Rhinolophus ferrumequinum: one gene and its partner. Each later gene encodes a partner of the first gene's protein in a complex. Links are inferred from orthologs where the notes say so. Each region holds a gene or a part of one and is shown in the gene's direction. Other genes may lie near its edges.

The links. The genes of interacting proteins can lie anywhere in the genome.
Region 2: AHI1 (region 1) and TCTN1 share a complex: the UniProt entries of both Homo sapiens proteins name them as parts of the tectonic-like complex. The link is inferred for Rhinolophus ferrumequinum from reciprocal best matches to the Homo sapiens genes AHI1 and TCTN1.

The regions. Positions count from the first base shown.
Region 1 is NC_046286.1:81,984,947-81,992,246, reverse strand, and holds the start of AHI1 (jouberin), read left to right. Parts: upstream 1-4,292; 5' UTR 4,293-4,501; intron 4,502-4,595; exon of another isoform or gene 4,596-4,820; intron 4,821-5,259; exon of another isoform or gene 5,260-5,480; intron 5,481-6,100; 5' UTR 6,101-6,158; coding exon 6,159-6,186; intron 6,187-7,300. UniProt on the Homo sapiens protein: Involved in vesicle trafficking and required for ciliogenesis, formation of primary non-motile cilium, and recruitment of RAB8A to the basal body of primary cilium.
Region 2 is NC_046308.1:6,242,951-6,250,334, forward strand, and holds the start of TCTN1 (tectonic-1), read left to right. Parts: upstream 1-4,378; 5' UTR 4,379-4,439; coding exon 4,440-4,659; intron 4,660-4,775; exon of another isoform or gene 4,776-4,940; intron 4,941-6,288; coding exon 6,289-6,409; intron 6,410-7,384. UniProt on the Homo sapiens protein: Component of the tectonic-like complex, a complex localized at the transition zone of primary cilia and acting as a barrier that prevents diffusion of transmembrane proteins between the cilia and plasma membranes.

The DNA.
Region 1 (7,300 bases):
CGTTCCTTTGTCTTTTATGACCTTGATACTTTTGAGAGTACACACCTATTATTTTGTAGAATGTCCCGCAATTTGGGGTTGTCTGATCTTTCCTCAAGATTAGATTCAGGTGGTGTGTTTTGGCAGAAATATCACAGCAGTGTGTTATAAGTGTCTCTCACTAGGTGGCACAGTGTTGATTTGTCCTATTACTGGGATAGTAACTTTGGTCACCAGTGCCAAATTTCTGCACTGTCAAGTTTCTATTTTTACCCTTTGTAATCAACAAGTATTTGATTGGGAGATATTTTGAGACTATATGAATATTATGTTCCTTTCAAAATTCTTACCCTCTAGTTTTGGCATACATTGATGATTCTTGCCTAAATCAATTTTTGCTGCGACAGTTGTCAATGGTGATGTTTCTACTTATATTATTCCTTCAACACATTAATTAGCATTCTAAGGTAGGGAAGAACTTTTCTTTGTCCCCATTTTAAAAATCCATGTATTTATTTCAGCATGAACTCATCTATTTCTATTTTATTCAGTGGATCATAATCTATTAACACTATAGTGGTTCTCAGATTGCCCCAGATGTGGCCAATGAGGGCTCCTGCCAGTTGGTTTCTATGTCCTCTTGATCCATCATTCTTTGAGAACTTCCTTAATTTCCAGCTCAACCAGATTTTCCAGACTCATGCTGTACTTTCCCTGCTGCTACTCTGGAATCAGCCATTTCTCCAAGGGGCTCTAGTTCCTTTCAGCAGAGAATGGTGTTTAGGAACCATGATCTAGGGGGGTGGCCGGTTAGCTCAGTTGGTTAGAGCGTGGTGCTAATAACTCCAAGGTTGCCGGTTCGATCCCCACATGGGCCACTGTGAGCTGTGCCCTCCTTGGGGGGAAAAAAAAAAGGCATTGTGTGATAATTGCTTCTAGGGTATCATTGCTCCTACACCTTTTCAGCAGATAGAACTAAGAGGATAGATAGATAGATAGATAGATAGATAGATGATAGAATACACACCTACATACACATATACTTTTATCTGTATTTCCGTATGTGTTCACATATATATATATTGAAAACTGAGTTTACATATTCAATACCCCAATACCACCACAAGGGCCATTCTGGAATGCTTCCTTTCCCTATTTGTAACTCCCTTCTCTGTTAGGGAGACTTGGCTCCCACTAGCCTCAATATAGTTATTTCCTCACTTCCCTTTCATGTAAACTTCAGGCCCTGACATGCTTGCTACCTTTTCACTTGGCAAGAAGGAGGCAAATGAGCTGGTTATCATGTTTTAATCCTTCTTTTCACTCAGTCCTCCATCCAATCAATCATCAAGTCTTGACATTTCTATCTCTTAAAAATCTCTTGAATTGGTGCACTTCTCGTCTCTGACTGCCCATATCACCACCATTATATAGCTAACAGTAACAGCATCTTAACTCATATCCCTATTATCTAAATTTGCTTTCTTCCCATCAATCATCCACACTGCAGCCAGAGTTACCTTTCTGAAATTAAAATTTGACCATTTTATTCCATGGTTAAAAATCTTTAATGATATCTCATTGACCCTATAATACTGAGTCTCTTCATAACTTGCTTCTCTCTCTTGTCTTACTTTCTCCCAAAGCCCCTCACCTCACTCTTGACTTTTCAGTTAGCCATGCTGAATTTACTTCAGTTCTTGGATTGTGCCAAGTTTTCTTTAAGTGAACTCTATACCCCACTTTCTTCTACCCAGAAACCGTTCCCAACCTGGACAACTCTACATATTTTTAAATGTCACTTCTGTTGTGAAACATTCCCTGCCACCCCCAACCCCGCCCCCATTATACCTGGGGGGCGGGGGAAGCTATTGTAAAGGTCTGGGCAAGAGACGACTGGTATACATCTCAGCCAGTCTGATAAACTGCAGAATGTGTTATGAAAATACCTGACTAAGAATGAGCAGCCAGAGTTATAACCTCTCTTTGTAAAAGTGGGTACTTACATCACAGTTGTGAGGACAGATGAAAAGTACATAAAACACCTGTAATGCATAGCTCCTAGAAGGAGCTCAATATACAAGGTAGGACAATTAAGTTCGTGAACTCATCCTAGAAAAGTGCTACATACCTCATTGCTGAATATCACTATGGTCATGTTCGAAGTACTTCCCTAGGGAAGCTATGCACCGATGCCACCTAGTCCACCCTTTGAAGCAATTTTGGAAGTCTTTTTCTGGAATGGCCATCAGAGCTGTCATCATATTACCCTTGATGTCCTGAATGTCATCAAAATGTCTTCTTTCAGTATTTCCTTTATCTTCGGGTAAAGAAAGAAGTCATTGGGGCCAGATCAGATGAGTAGGGAGGGTGTTCCAATACAGTTATTTGTTTACTGGCTAAAAACTCCCTCACAGACAGTGCCGTGTAAGCTGGTGCATTGTCGTGATGCAAGAGCCATGAATTGTTGGCGAAAAATTCAGGTTGTTTCATCTAACTTTTTCAGGCAGCCTTTTCAGCACTTCCAAATAGTAAACTTGGTTAACTATGTATCCAGTTGGTACAAATTCATAATGAATAATCCTTCTGATATCAAAAAAAGTTAGCAATATCGTGAACTTAATTGACAGACCTCGTATGTCATCCATTACTCGTTCACAAAGGTTCATGAAGCAGCACATTATTTAATAGGTACTGTGCTTCATGCTGGGCCTACACAAACTAAAGTACAACGCAAACAATTAAAATATTAAAAAAGAATGAGTGTCCAAAGCATAATAGGATATATAGTAGGAGTGTTTGGAGGAATTACTCAACCTACTTAAGATTCAAAGGATGGACAACATTTGGGCTGAGACACGCAGAAGTACAAGTTTATAAGGAGGGCTTTTCAGGGAAAGAGCACAATCTGTGCAATAGATTGTTGTGGTGCACCTACTTCAATATTGCTGAAGCATAACACAGAAACAAGGCAATGAGAAATGAAACTAGTCAGGGAGATGGAGTGTCTTGTATTATAGGCAAAATAACTAGAGTTTTCTCCTACAGATCATCTTCGAAAAATTTTCAGGAGAGTGGCATTATCAGATTTATATTTTTAGTGAGCTCATTCTGGTTAGCAGTGTGGAGAATGGAATTCAGTGATCCAAACGGGTCAGGGCACTGATAAAGAGGCCCTCTTATTATAATCCCTGTGAAGCCATGAAGGCTGGCTTTAGGCAGGGGGGGTGTAGGGGGGGTTACGATGGATCAGCTGTACACTGGGGACGTTAAAAAGGTAGAATGGACATAATTGGGTGTGAGAGGTATTTAGGATGTTCCATACGTGTCTAACTACAACCCTGGAAGGATGATGGTGGCTTAAACCAAGATAGTAGTCCGGAAAGGGAAGTAGGTTTTGAGTGGAAAGGTGACCAGTTCACTTTGAGACGCACTGGACTGGTAATATTTCTCAGCGCCTTCTCACAGGATTTGGAGAAACACTAAATGAGATGTGCTTTGTAACGTACGGTGATGCCAATGGGAATGGAAAAGCTGGCCTCCAAATAGGCTCTCAATGTACAAACGAAGCAACAGGTTATTATAGTGCGTGAGTACAACTACAGAAAATTCCAGAGTCGAAGAGTGACTTGTCTAGTATTTTTCCATCCCTGGTGACTCAGGGCTAAAGATGGCGCTTGGGGCAGAAATTAGCAAGTGGGAGGGGGTATTGGGTGTGGAAAAAAGATGACGTTTTTGTTCTGCTTTAAATACATAGTGAGATAACTCACCGCCAAATGAATCGTGGCCAATTTTTTCCTTAAGATTTGATCTGTAGTACAACTTTTCATTCTCCACGCTTAAAAGAATGTTTCATTTTGGGGCGCCATCGCGTGGGGAGTGATGAATCTGTTTCTTCCCCTCATTCACGTTTCCTAGGTTTGGCGCGTTCCCAGCTCGCTCTGCCCCCTACCGCTTTACCCAGCGCTGGTTGCAGGCCAAAGGCGCAGAGACGCTTTTGGGGGGCGGGCTGAGGCTCCAGGGGCACCTGCGCATCCCCGGGGCCCCTTGCCGTTCAGAGGTAGTGGATTCTTCTCCCTTTTAGGGCCGCACAGCGGCCTTGAGCTTTCCGCTCGGACTCCGGTTCCGGAGCGCGTTCCCGGCGGCAGTCTGTGGCTTCGCGAACGGGCGGGCGCGCACGCACGCCGCCTCTGCAGGCGCCGCACGTCTGGACCTACGGGCGGAGACGGAGGCGGCGCAGGGCGGGGACAGCCGAGGGGCGGGAAGCAGGGCAGCGGTCCAGGCTGGGCCGCATCGGTTGTCAAGGGAACGGTGGCGTAGGTAGGAGCTGACGTCAGCGGGCGGCGCGCTGTCTGCACTGCGGCTTCCACCGCTTTTTCAGAGCCGGGGTTACTGGCGGCGGGGGTAGCCCTGTTGCCGTTTTACGCCCAGCGGGCTCCTCGTAGCGCGGGAAGCCGCTTCGCATTGTCCCGGGGTTGGCTCTGGCGAGACGGGCTGTCTGCCGTACTGCGCTCTCCTACCCGTGAGTACGCAGCAGGCGCGCTGGTGGCGGGAGCCCGGGCCCAGGCACTCGGTCGGCCCCGGCCTTCCCGGGGGGCAGTGGCGTGGGGGGCTGTGTGGATCCGAGGGCGTGGAGGTGGCACTGCGCCACTGCAAGCTTAGCGGCCAAGCGCCGCCGAGCGGATGGATGTGGTTTTGGGGAAATACATCAGCATACTTTTCTGCTCCCTCGCCTGGACTTCTTGGCTCCGGACTTCGGCGCCGTGTCCTGAAGGAGTGAATGTAATCTTTGCTTCTCCTACGTCCGATTATGGTTTAAATGCTTTTAAATCAGATGCGTTGTAAGTTCGCTTCGTTCTTTTTAGGATGCCAACCTGGTGCTGAATATTGAACCTTTGAATACCTTGTTAATTACATCTGAGAAAATGTGATCGATGCTTTACGTTTATAAGAGTCGAATTACATGAATAGGGTCTTTTTGATAGGTATAAAAATAGAAAAAATACGTAGGCTATTTACAAATCCCTACCAAATGGTTGTGCAGCCTCTCTCTTTTCGAATTTGGGATAACTGGAAAATAGATGGCCAGGCTTATTAAATCTGTATTTACTAAAATGTAAATATGAGTATAGGCTCTTACACTAAAGTATAGGAGTTTTTGCTATGTGGATTTAGTGATGTCTTTTATCTGCATACTAGATGGAGTTCACATAAGTGAACTCCCATAATTAGGTGTATATGTATAATCATTTTTTTTTCTTTCTACCATTTTTTTCTCAGTCTTTTCTGTCCAAAATGCCCTGATACCAAAGGAAAAGGAATATGGACCCCAGGGATCTGGAGCCTTAACTGATCATTGCTGAGCCAACTCAAATTATGTTTCTCTTTTCTTTTTAATGTCTTCAGTTTTACTCTTAAAAATCTATGCATAGCATGTTCTAATGTGAGAATTGTTTGTTTTGGACACACCTCCATCTCTTTGAGTAAAATTGGAAACTCAGGTATATATGTACTGGTTACTCATGGTTTTGATACTTAATAATACACACGCAGGTATTTATTTGAGAAAGAGGATGAATGTTTCTGCTAAGCTTTTCTACTGCAGTAGCATTTTCAGTGGTAGGCACAGAGGTTGTTAGTATATGTACTGCCAAGGCGAGCACAGGCACAGAGTTGTAAATTCATTGTCTGTGAATGTGCTCCCCACAAGCATAGGTTACTAATATAAGAGTGTATGCTCTTAGGAAAGTCAATCCTGAGATGGAATTTGGTTTCTTAAAAATGCATTGAAATGTTCATTTTTTACTTAAAACATTTAATGAAAAGTGTGTTAACATACCAAGTTAGATGTTTACTGCCTTTCAAAATTTAAAAATTGTTTTTGTTTTAAAAATGTAAGTATTTTATTCAAATATGATCCAGTTTGCTTCTTCACTTTATTTTGTGCTCTAAACTGATCCAAATGTACTCAAGTTATTTGCATACGATTGAGATGAGAGAAACTGGTATAAACATGATGAGTTAAAACTGATTGGTATAAACAATGACATAATTATGCCTGAAGAATACAATTTTTGTTTGGAACTTTCATATTCCAAATAAATCCTCTTTGTTTTAATAGGCTCCTGATTGAATTAATGCTTTATGTTACAACGCAGTGTTCCCCATAAAGCTGAGATATGCTCACCGGTGAGACTTGCATGAAATGTATGTATACAATCCATATTATTTACTTACTTTAAATTTTGGATTATTTTAAGGGATACTTTAATAGATTAATGAATAAAGTAGATGTCATCAACCAAATATTAACATTTAGAGATACTTAAGTGTTCAGTATTCAATTTTCTATTTGATATTGGTGATTAAGGTTAATAGTATTCAATGGATGGCAGTTTGCGACTCAGCTGGACAGAGTAAATAATAATTACAGCATATGGTTAGTTTTCATTCTTTCCTTTCAAAATGGATGTTTTACTCTAAGCAGTCAGAGGCAAACTTTTTTTTTAAAGCAAGCTAATAAATATTTTTAGGCTTGGTCTGTGCTACAGCTATTGAACTCTGTCTGCCGTTGAAGCACAAAAGCAGCCATAACAATTCTTAGCACAGTGGGCATGGCTTTGTTTCCATACAACTTTATTTACATAAACAGGTGACTGGCCTGCAGGTGTTGTTTGCCAACACCTGTTCTGGGGTATTCACTCATTCATTAAGCATTATTTATTGAATACTTTTTTGAATATTTATTTTGTGACAGACCAGACCGCATGATACCATGTTTCGCCAAAAATAAGACCGGGTCTTATATTAAGTTTTGCTCCAAAAGACGCATCAGGGTTTATTTTCAAGTTAGGTCTTATTTTTGGGGAAACACAGTAGTAGCTGGGGATATAGTTATAAACCACATAGTATAGTGAAAGAGACGGATGGTATGTTTATTTATGTAGATATACAAGTAATTGTACAATTTCAAGTTGGGTTAAGTGTTGTGAAGGAAAAAAATAGTCTCCTATGTGAGAAACAGAAATTTAGACGAGGTTGTCGAGAAACAGTCCACTTTAGAGGCAGCATTTAAACAGGCAGCTTAATACAAGTCAGGCGAGGGGTTAGAGGAAACTTCCACCAGAGAGCTTAGAAGAGTTAAGAAGCTTCCAAATGGGGAGAAGCAGCTTCGCATGGAAAGGAGCTTGTTCTGACAGAGGATCTAGAAGAGTGGTATAGCTCGAATCTAGGGATCTCAGGGAACATTGGTCTTGATTTGAAGCTGTAGCGGTAGGCAGGCCAGGAATAGAGAATCCTGAAGGGCATGTGAAAAACTTGT
Region 2 (7,384 bases), on another chromosome or scaffold:
CTCAGAAATCTCACTCCTAGGTATGTACCCAAAAGAAATGAAAATGCATGTTCACACAAAACCTGTATGTGAATGTTTAAAAACTGTCTTATATGTCATTGCCAAAAACTGGAAAACCTCAAATTACTTCAACTGGCAAAGAAGAAATTGTCACATATCCATTATGGAACACTTGTCAGCAATAAAAAGGAGTGGATTGAAATAAACTCTTGCATATATGGCCAACTGATTTTTAACACGGGTGCCAAGACTACACAATGAGGAAAGGCCAATCTCTTCAACAAATGGTTAAAAACTGGATATCCACATGTAAAAGAATGAAGTTAGACCCTTACCTGACACTATATACAAAAATTAACTCAAATGGTGTAAATACCTAAATGCAAGGCCTAAAACTATTACATTCCTAGAAGAAAACTGAATCAGAGAAAAGCTTGAACATTGGATTTGGTAATGATTTCTTGACTATGACACCAAAAGCACAGACAACAAAAGGAAAAATAGACAAATGGGACTACATCAAACTAAAAAACTTCTGTATATCAAAAGAGACATTCAACAGTGAAAAGACAACCTATGGAATAGGAGAAAATGATTGCAAATCATATATCTGATAAGGGATTAATATCCAGAATATATAAGGAGCTCCTACAACTCAGCAACAACAAAATGCTGATTAAAAAATTGGCAAAGGACTTGAATAGACATTTCTCCAAAGGAGAGATACAAATGGCCAATAAGCACAAGAAAAGATGCTCTACATCACTAATCATTAGGGAAACGCAAATCAAAACCACAGTGAGCTATTACCTCACACCTGTCAGGATGCTACTATCAAAAGAAGAGAAAATCATAAATGTTGGATGTGGAAAAGTTGGAACTCTTGTACATTGTTGGTGGGAATGTAAAATAGCGCAGCCATTGTGGAAAACAGTATGGAGGTTCCTAAAAAAATTTTTAAACAGATTACATTTGATCCAGCAATCCCACTTCTGGTATACGTCCAAAGGAATTCAAAGCAGGGTTCCAAAGAGATATTTGCACACCCATGTACATAGCAGCATTATTCACAATAGGTAAGAGGTGGAAGCCACCCAAATGTCTATCCACAGATGAAAGGATAAAGAAAATGAGATATACGCATACAATGGAGTATCATGTGGCCTTAAAAAATAAATCCTGTCACCTGCTACCACCTGGATGACCCTTAAGGACATTATGCTAAGTGTAACTTGCCAGTCACAAACGGACAAGTATTGTATGATTCCACTCATATAAAGTAGCTAAAGTAGTCAAAATTAAAGAAATAGAAAGTAGAAAGGTGGTTACCAAGGGCTGGGGGGAAGGTGAAGGTGGAATTAGTGTTTAGTGGCTACAGAGTTTCAGTGTTGTAAGATGAAAAAGTTTTAGACATCTGTTTCACAACAATGTGAAAACACTTAGCAGTACTGAATTGTACACTTGAAAAATGATTAAGATGGCAAATTTAATGTTGTATGTTTTTTTTACAATCATCATCATCATCAAAGGAATGGATTGTTGATACTCATACATGCAAGATGGATGAATCTCAAAGGCATTAGGCTAAATGAAAGAAGTCAGGCTCAAAAGGCTGCATTCTCTATGCTTCCACTGATGTGACATTCTGGAAAAGGGAAAACCATAGGGAGAGAAAATAGATCAGTGTCATCAAGGGCTGGGATGGCGGGAGGGACTATTAAGGGGCATGAGGGAACTTTTGGGAGTGGTAATATTGTTCTATGCCTTGATTGTGGTTGGGATCACATGACTGTATGTGTTTGTTAAAACTCATAAAACTGTACACCAAAAAAAATGTACATTGATGCATGAGAAAAACCTGGATATCAGAAACTGTACATAAAAATTTATACTGTATTAAGTTATCCCTCAATAAAACTAAAAAGAAAAGTGGGGTAAATATGACAAAAGTTCTAATCTGCATGGTCTTGGTCCAGTGTACAGTGTTCTTTTTTGTACCTTTCATTGTGATTGAAATGCTTCAATCTGAAAATAATAAAAACAATAATGATTCTTAAAAAGCTAACTAGTTTATTCAAACTGCAGTATGGTCTAATAGGACGCAAGTTTAAAGTTGTCTGATAAACAAGGAATTCTTATTTCATTCCTGTCAGTGTTATGTCTGTGACCGTATTTATAACTTCATTTTCAGAAAAGGTCAAACTTGTACATTTGAAACCTTTCAAGATAGTGAAGTCTGCTCAATAGGCCTTCTTGCCCTCATGTTTCAGACAACATCTGAAGAGCAAGAATAGCACTGGTGGTTGACTAAGCACTTGGGGAATGGGAGGAGTAGAGAAGTTGAGGATTGCTTTCTTCTGAGTGCTGATCTAGAAATCTATTGCTAGATTGCTCACTTCAATCAAAACAATAGAGTCAATCCTTTGTCCTTACACAGCCTGGACCTCCCTGTAGGTCTAAGCAATCCCTTTATAAAGCTTGATGATTCTGCCTTCTTATTTGTAAAATATTTGGCTCAGATGAATAAAGATGGGTAGATATACTTGATCATAGGAAAAACTGTTTCTAAAACAGCTTAGAAACTATGACTCTAGCGATAATAATAATAATAACCAATTCATCCCAAACCACAGGAAACACCAAGACCGACTGGTTAACCCGGCCTTGTAAAGTCAGCCTTAGCTATTTTTCTGCCTAGCTAGTACTTCTGTCTTTGGTTTGTTTTCAGCCTCCTCATATGTGGCAGCTTCCAAGTACAAAATTCCAAAAAGCTGAATTGTCCTGATTCCTCCCAATGTTGGCACAGACTATGAGGAATTGAGAATGCCAATAATCTAGGAGAAACAGATGGACATTTTTAATCACAAACATTTACCCTACAACCTAAATGTTGCAGTTTTGGACAAAATATGGAAATCTTAGCCCTTCCTTGTGTCCTTCCATCCTAATAAGGGAACCTACCAAGGCCAGGGGAGAAGGAAGGGAGAAAGGATCATCTGGGTTGAAAGATGAAAAAAGCGTGGCAGAAATGGGTCACCTGTGAAATGACAAGTTTAGCGTTCCCAAGGTTTGCAAAATGGATCTGAGGTGATTCAACCCTCATTTCGATTTTCTAAACTGTCATAAAATTACGTTTGGGTCATCTCCCAAGTATCTGAGAGTGGACAAACGGGGTGGTGAGATTATTTCCTAAACCATAAAGCATAAAGATGACAATGTTAAATTTAATCTAACAGCCTAAAGTTTCAAAACAGAAAATAGGACAGAGTGATTCACAGATATTAAGGAATAGAAAAGAAAGTATCTAGAAGTAAACAGGTTTTTAAAAAACAATAGTGCTGGATTTAGAGTTATGGGATGAAAGTTTGGAAAATATAGTTGTTGTTTTTGTTAAAGGTAAGCATTACATCAGTTATTAAAAGTAGTCCAGAATTTCAGTCACATGTTAAAGCAATCCTTTGTAGAAAATAAAAAAGGAAATATCAGTATTACACATTTGATTCAATTACATTTTTATACACTTTGGAATGCCACAGAAAAGTACTAAAGATGTCCCTTTGATGATTTAGCTTTGCTATATAAATTCAATAAACTAGATATATATACTGTTTGGGCATTCTTCTAAACTGGTAAATGTGTTTTTTAAATAAATACCATGATATGTTTAAGTATTCTGACATTTACTTCTGAATTACAAGGATATTAAGTATCAAAGGTATTGCAAACATCCTGGGCCGGAGTATCTCTGTACATAAGTCACTTTGGAATGGAGGGGCTCCCCTAATTTTGTAGTCTTCAAGTCATTTTTAGAGTTACAGAGTTGCTTTGATTTTTTTCCTTTTAATACTTGTAAGTCATTCCACTTAATTTTTGTCAATGTTTTTTGACTGTAAAAAAGTTAAGTGTTCATTTGTCCCCTTTATCACAACACAACGAGCTGAAGTTATCTGGCGACCTGCTGCGAGATAAAACAAAAAAGGCAAACCAAGTGGTGACAGTGTGGGATAGAGAAAATTCAAGGATGGTGATGTCATCTCTGTGCTCCTTCAAAAGACCTTATTTAGTAGCGTCCCAAATTTCTGTCCCCCCACCGGTTGCGTCCGGACATTTGTTGAAAATATTGATTCCTGGACCCTGCCCAAAACTGTCTGAGTCAGAATCCCCTGAGATGGAATTTGGAAATCCGCATTTTTTAAACAAGCGCCCCAGTCGGCTTGGGAACCGCAAATCTGATATACACAAACCTCTAGTCTCCGCCGACCGGTCTCTCACCGCCCCTTGTCGCACAGTCCCGCGGTGGCCCGCCTCACCCAGGCCCCGCCCTCAGCCCCAGTCTCGCGTGTCTTCGCAGGATACTTCCCGTGAAGCCCCGCGCCGGCCGCTGTGGTTGCCAGGCAACGCGCGGTCCCTACCGCTGGCCGCACGGGTTCGCGGCGGCGATGTCGCCCCTCGGCTTCCATCCGCTCTTGCTGGTACTTATGGACTGCTGGGCCTCTGTGCGCGCCCAGGCCGGGGCCACCCTGGCGGTGACGACGGAGGCTCTCAACTCTACGGAGCCATCCCCGACGAATTTCCGACCTGCCTTGTCTCCTAGGCCCCCGGGACTCCCCAGGGTCCCCGGGCCCTTCTCCGGTCCCAGGCCCACCCCAGTCACGGATGGTGGGTACTAAATGCCAAATCCTGGGGATCCAGAGTGATCCATCCTGGAGGGGTAGCCCGGATGAGGATGTAATAATAATGATAGTTACCGTTTATTGAACACTTACTTTGTGCAGGCATTGCTAAGCGTTTCATAGGCATTAATTCTCTCAACAACCTTCAGAGGTAGATATTATCCTTGCCATACAGATGAGAAAGCCGAGGCTAACAGAGCTTTAATTGGGACAATATCAAATCCTTGAAAGTACTTGCAGAGGTCTTGGACAACATTCATGCGCAAGGTAATAATAAATGAGCCTTTGCAGCCAAAGTCGCAATTAAACCGAAAGTGTCTAGACAGTTGTGGAAATTAAATGCATAGGATGCACTGAACTTTTCACTTACCAAAAAGAGACCCCAAAAGTTTACCTTACTAAATGTAACCAGGTGAAATCTCACTGTCTGTTAACTTGAATTATGAAAACCCCGAATTCCTCTTGTGTTGAGTTCGAGATGGGAAGTTGTGGGGTGAAGGGTTATGTCCACTTTTTAGGATTCATCTTTAAAAAATTAAAAAACTTAAGTGGGAAAACTTTTGTGTTTCAGACTACGAGAGGATTTTGTATTTATTGACAAAACCTTCCCTTTGTCCTTACACACTTCTTTCCAGAGTATGTTATTGTACCTTTTTTGAGCTACATTTTTCTAAAAGTCATTTTTATTATGAAATAATTCATACATGCGAATAAGAATGTTTTATGGACTCTCTTCCAGCATTTACTTGAGATCCTTTTTTTGGGGGGGGTTGTTTTTGCATGAAATCCTTTTGAAAAAAAGAAAACATTGCAGGTTAATATTGAAGTGCTAATGTGTTTCCTGCCTACCCAGAAATAATTACTGCTATGAGTTCAGAGTTTATCATTCTCATGCTCTGTTATTTCTTTAAAAGGGGTTCCCACCCCCCATTTGACAGATTAAAATAGGGAATTAAAAATCCAGATAGTCGTCATTATTAAAAAATTAAAAGTTGCTACCTTTCCCCATGCTTTATTGTCTATATTACTAGAGATATTCCTACGGCCCCAAGTATAAAGCACTTGAGTCATTTTGATTCTTGGCCAATAAATAGCCTGCTAATGTGGGCTCAGCCTCAAAACTGCAGGTGATGTCTGAGGAGAGAAAGAAGATTGAGAACCTTGATTCCTGGTGGCCTTAAGTGGGCCCTTCCTCTGAATCAATCTCTAGGGGAGGAATTTGGGAATCTGCAGTATTAAACCGGTGGTTCTTATGGTCAGGCAAGTGATTTAGTTTGCTGGTTCTTAAACCTGTCTGAGTTATCAGCATCACCTGGAAAGTTTTTGAACAACACGGATGTCTGGGTTTCACAGTCAGCTTACCAGATCAGAGTCTTTGTATATAGAGCACAAACAACGTTCCAAGTGAGTGAGATGGTTGGCCACTTTGGGGAAACCCCAGCTTGAGGAGTGCTGGAACTGATTGATTTTCACTTCGTAAATTTCCCCCAAATTGCAATAGGAAAAACCAAATGGGCCTTTTGTATGAAATGGACTTTTGGTACATTGCAGTGGCAGGGGGCGCGGTCACTACCTGCAGATTGTGATGCTCTGTATCCCACCTGTCTTTCTGTAGTTGCTGCTCTTTGTGTCTGTGACTTGTCCCCAGCACAGTGTGACGTCAACTGCTGTTGTGATCCCGATTGCAGCTCCATGGATTTCAGTGTCTTTTCTGCTTGCTCAGTTTCAGTTGTCACGTAAGTTTGTGACACATGCAGTTTTGATAAAATCGGACCAAGATTATAAACTTTCAGGACGGAAAGTGAAAACTCCCCCAGGCTAAAACACCCAAACCTGATTTTCTGAGTTTTGCATCATTCAGAAGCCATGTTGTCCAAACCTGTATACAGAAGAGTTATCTATCCCTTATTTGCATCCAGCCAGATGATAGTGCAGGCAAAAGAGAAGAGAGTGTACTTTTTAAAAAGAGTATAACAAAATCTTTGTGTTCAAAGATGGAATTACATTTCAGTTTGATTTGTAAAGAGATAACATGTCACATTTTTGTATCAGTGAATTAGTTGTATTTACAGCCTAGGGTGAAAGGTACAGTTCAATTTTACAGCTTTTGTGGTGGACATAGTACTTATAACAAAAAAATTAAATAGTCAGGTAAGCTTTGTTTATATTTTTCTGATGTGTAAATCTACCAGGAATTCTCACAGTTCACATCATATAGGAAAATAATGGAAAATGACATTCCCAGTCCATTACACGGTAAAGAAATAATCCTTTCTGAATGATCTGTTTCTCCTAATTCAGATTTCAAAACTTCTGGGAAAAAACAGCATTTAAAGAGGCTAATTTATTCAGGATGGGATCAACATACTATTCAAAGATAGCCAATTTAAATTTAACCTTGTAGCAAGTGGTAGTAATTGATACTTGATAGATTGAAAGCTTTTTGCAAGTACAATGTGTTTTTCCCATGAGAAACTATTTTACTGACTAATGGGAAATTGAATTTACTTCTAATGTTGTAAAAATGCTTGGAGAATGGGATGTTGTAGTCAGATTATTTTTTTCTGGCTACCTGGACTACACCATGGTTTAGTCTATGTTGAAAATTATCCTGCTTTCCTGCCTTAGGAAGTACTAGGAGCCTGAGAGTGAGATTTCTGCCCCAATTTGAGATCATTCTTTAGAATATCAGTTCTTTTTTATTAGCCAAT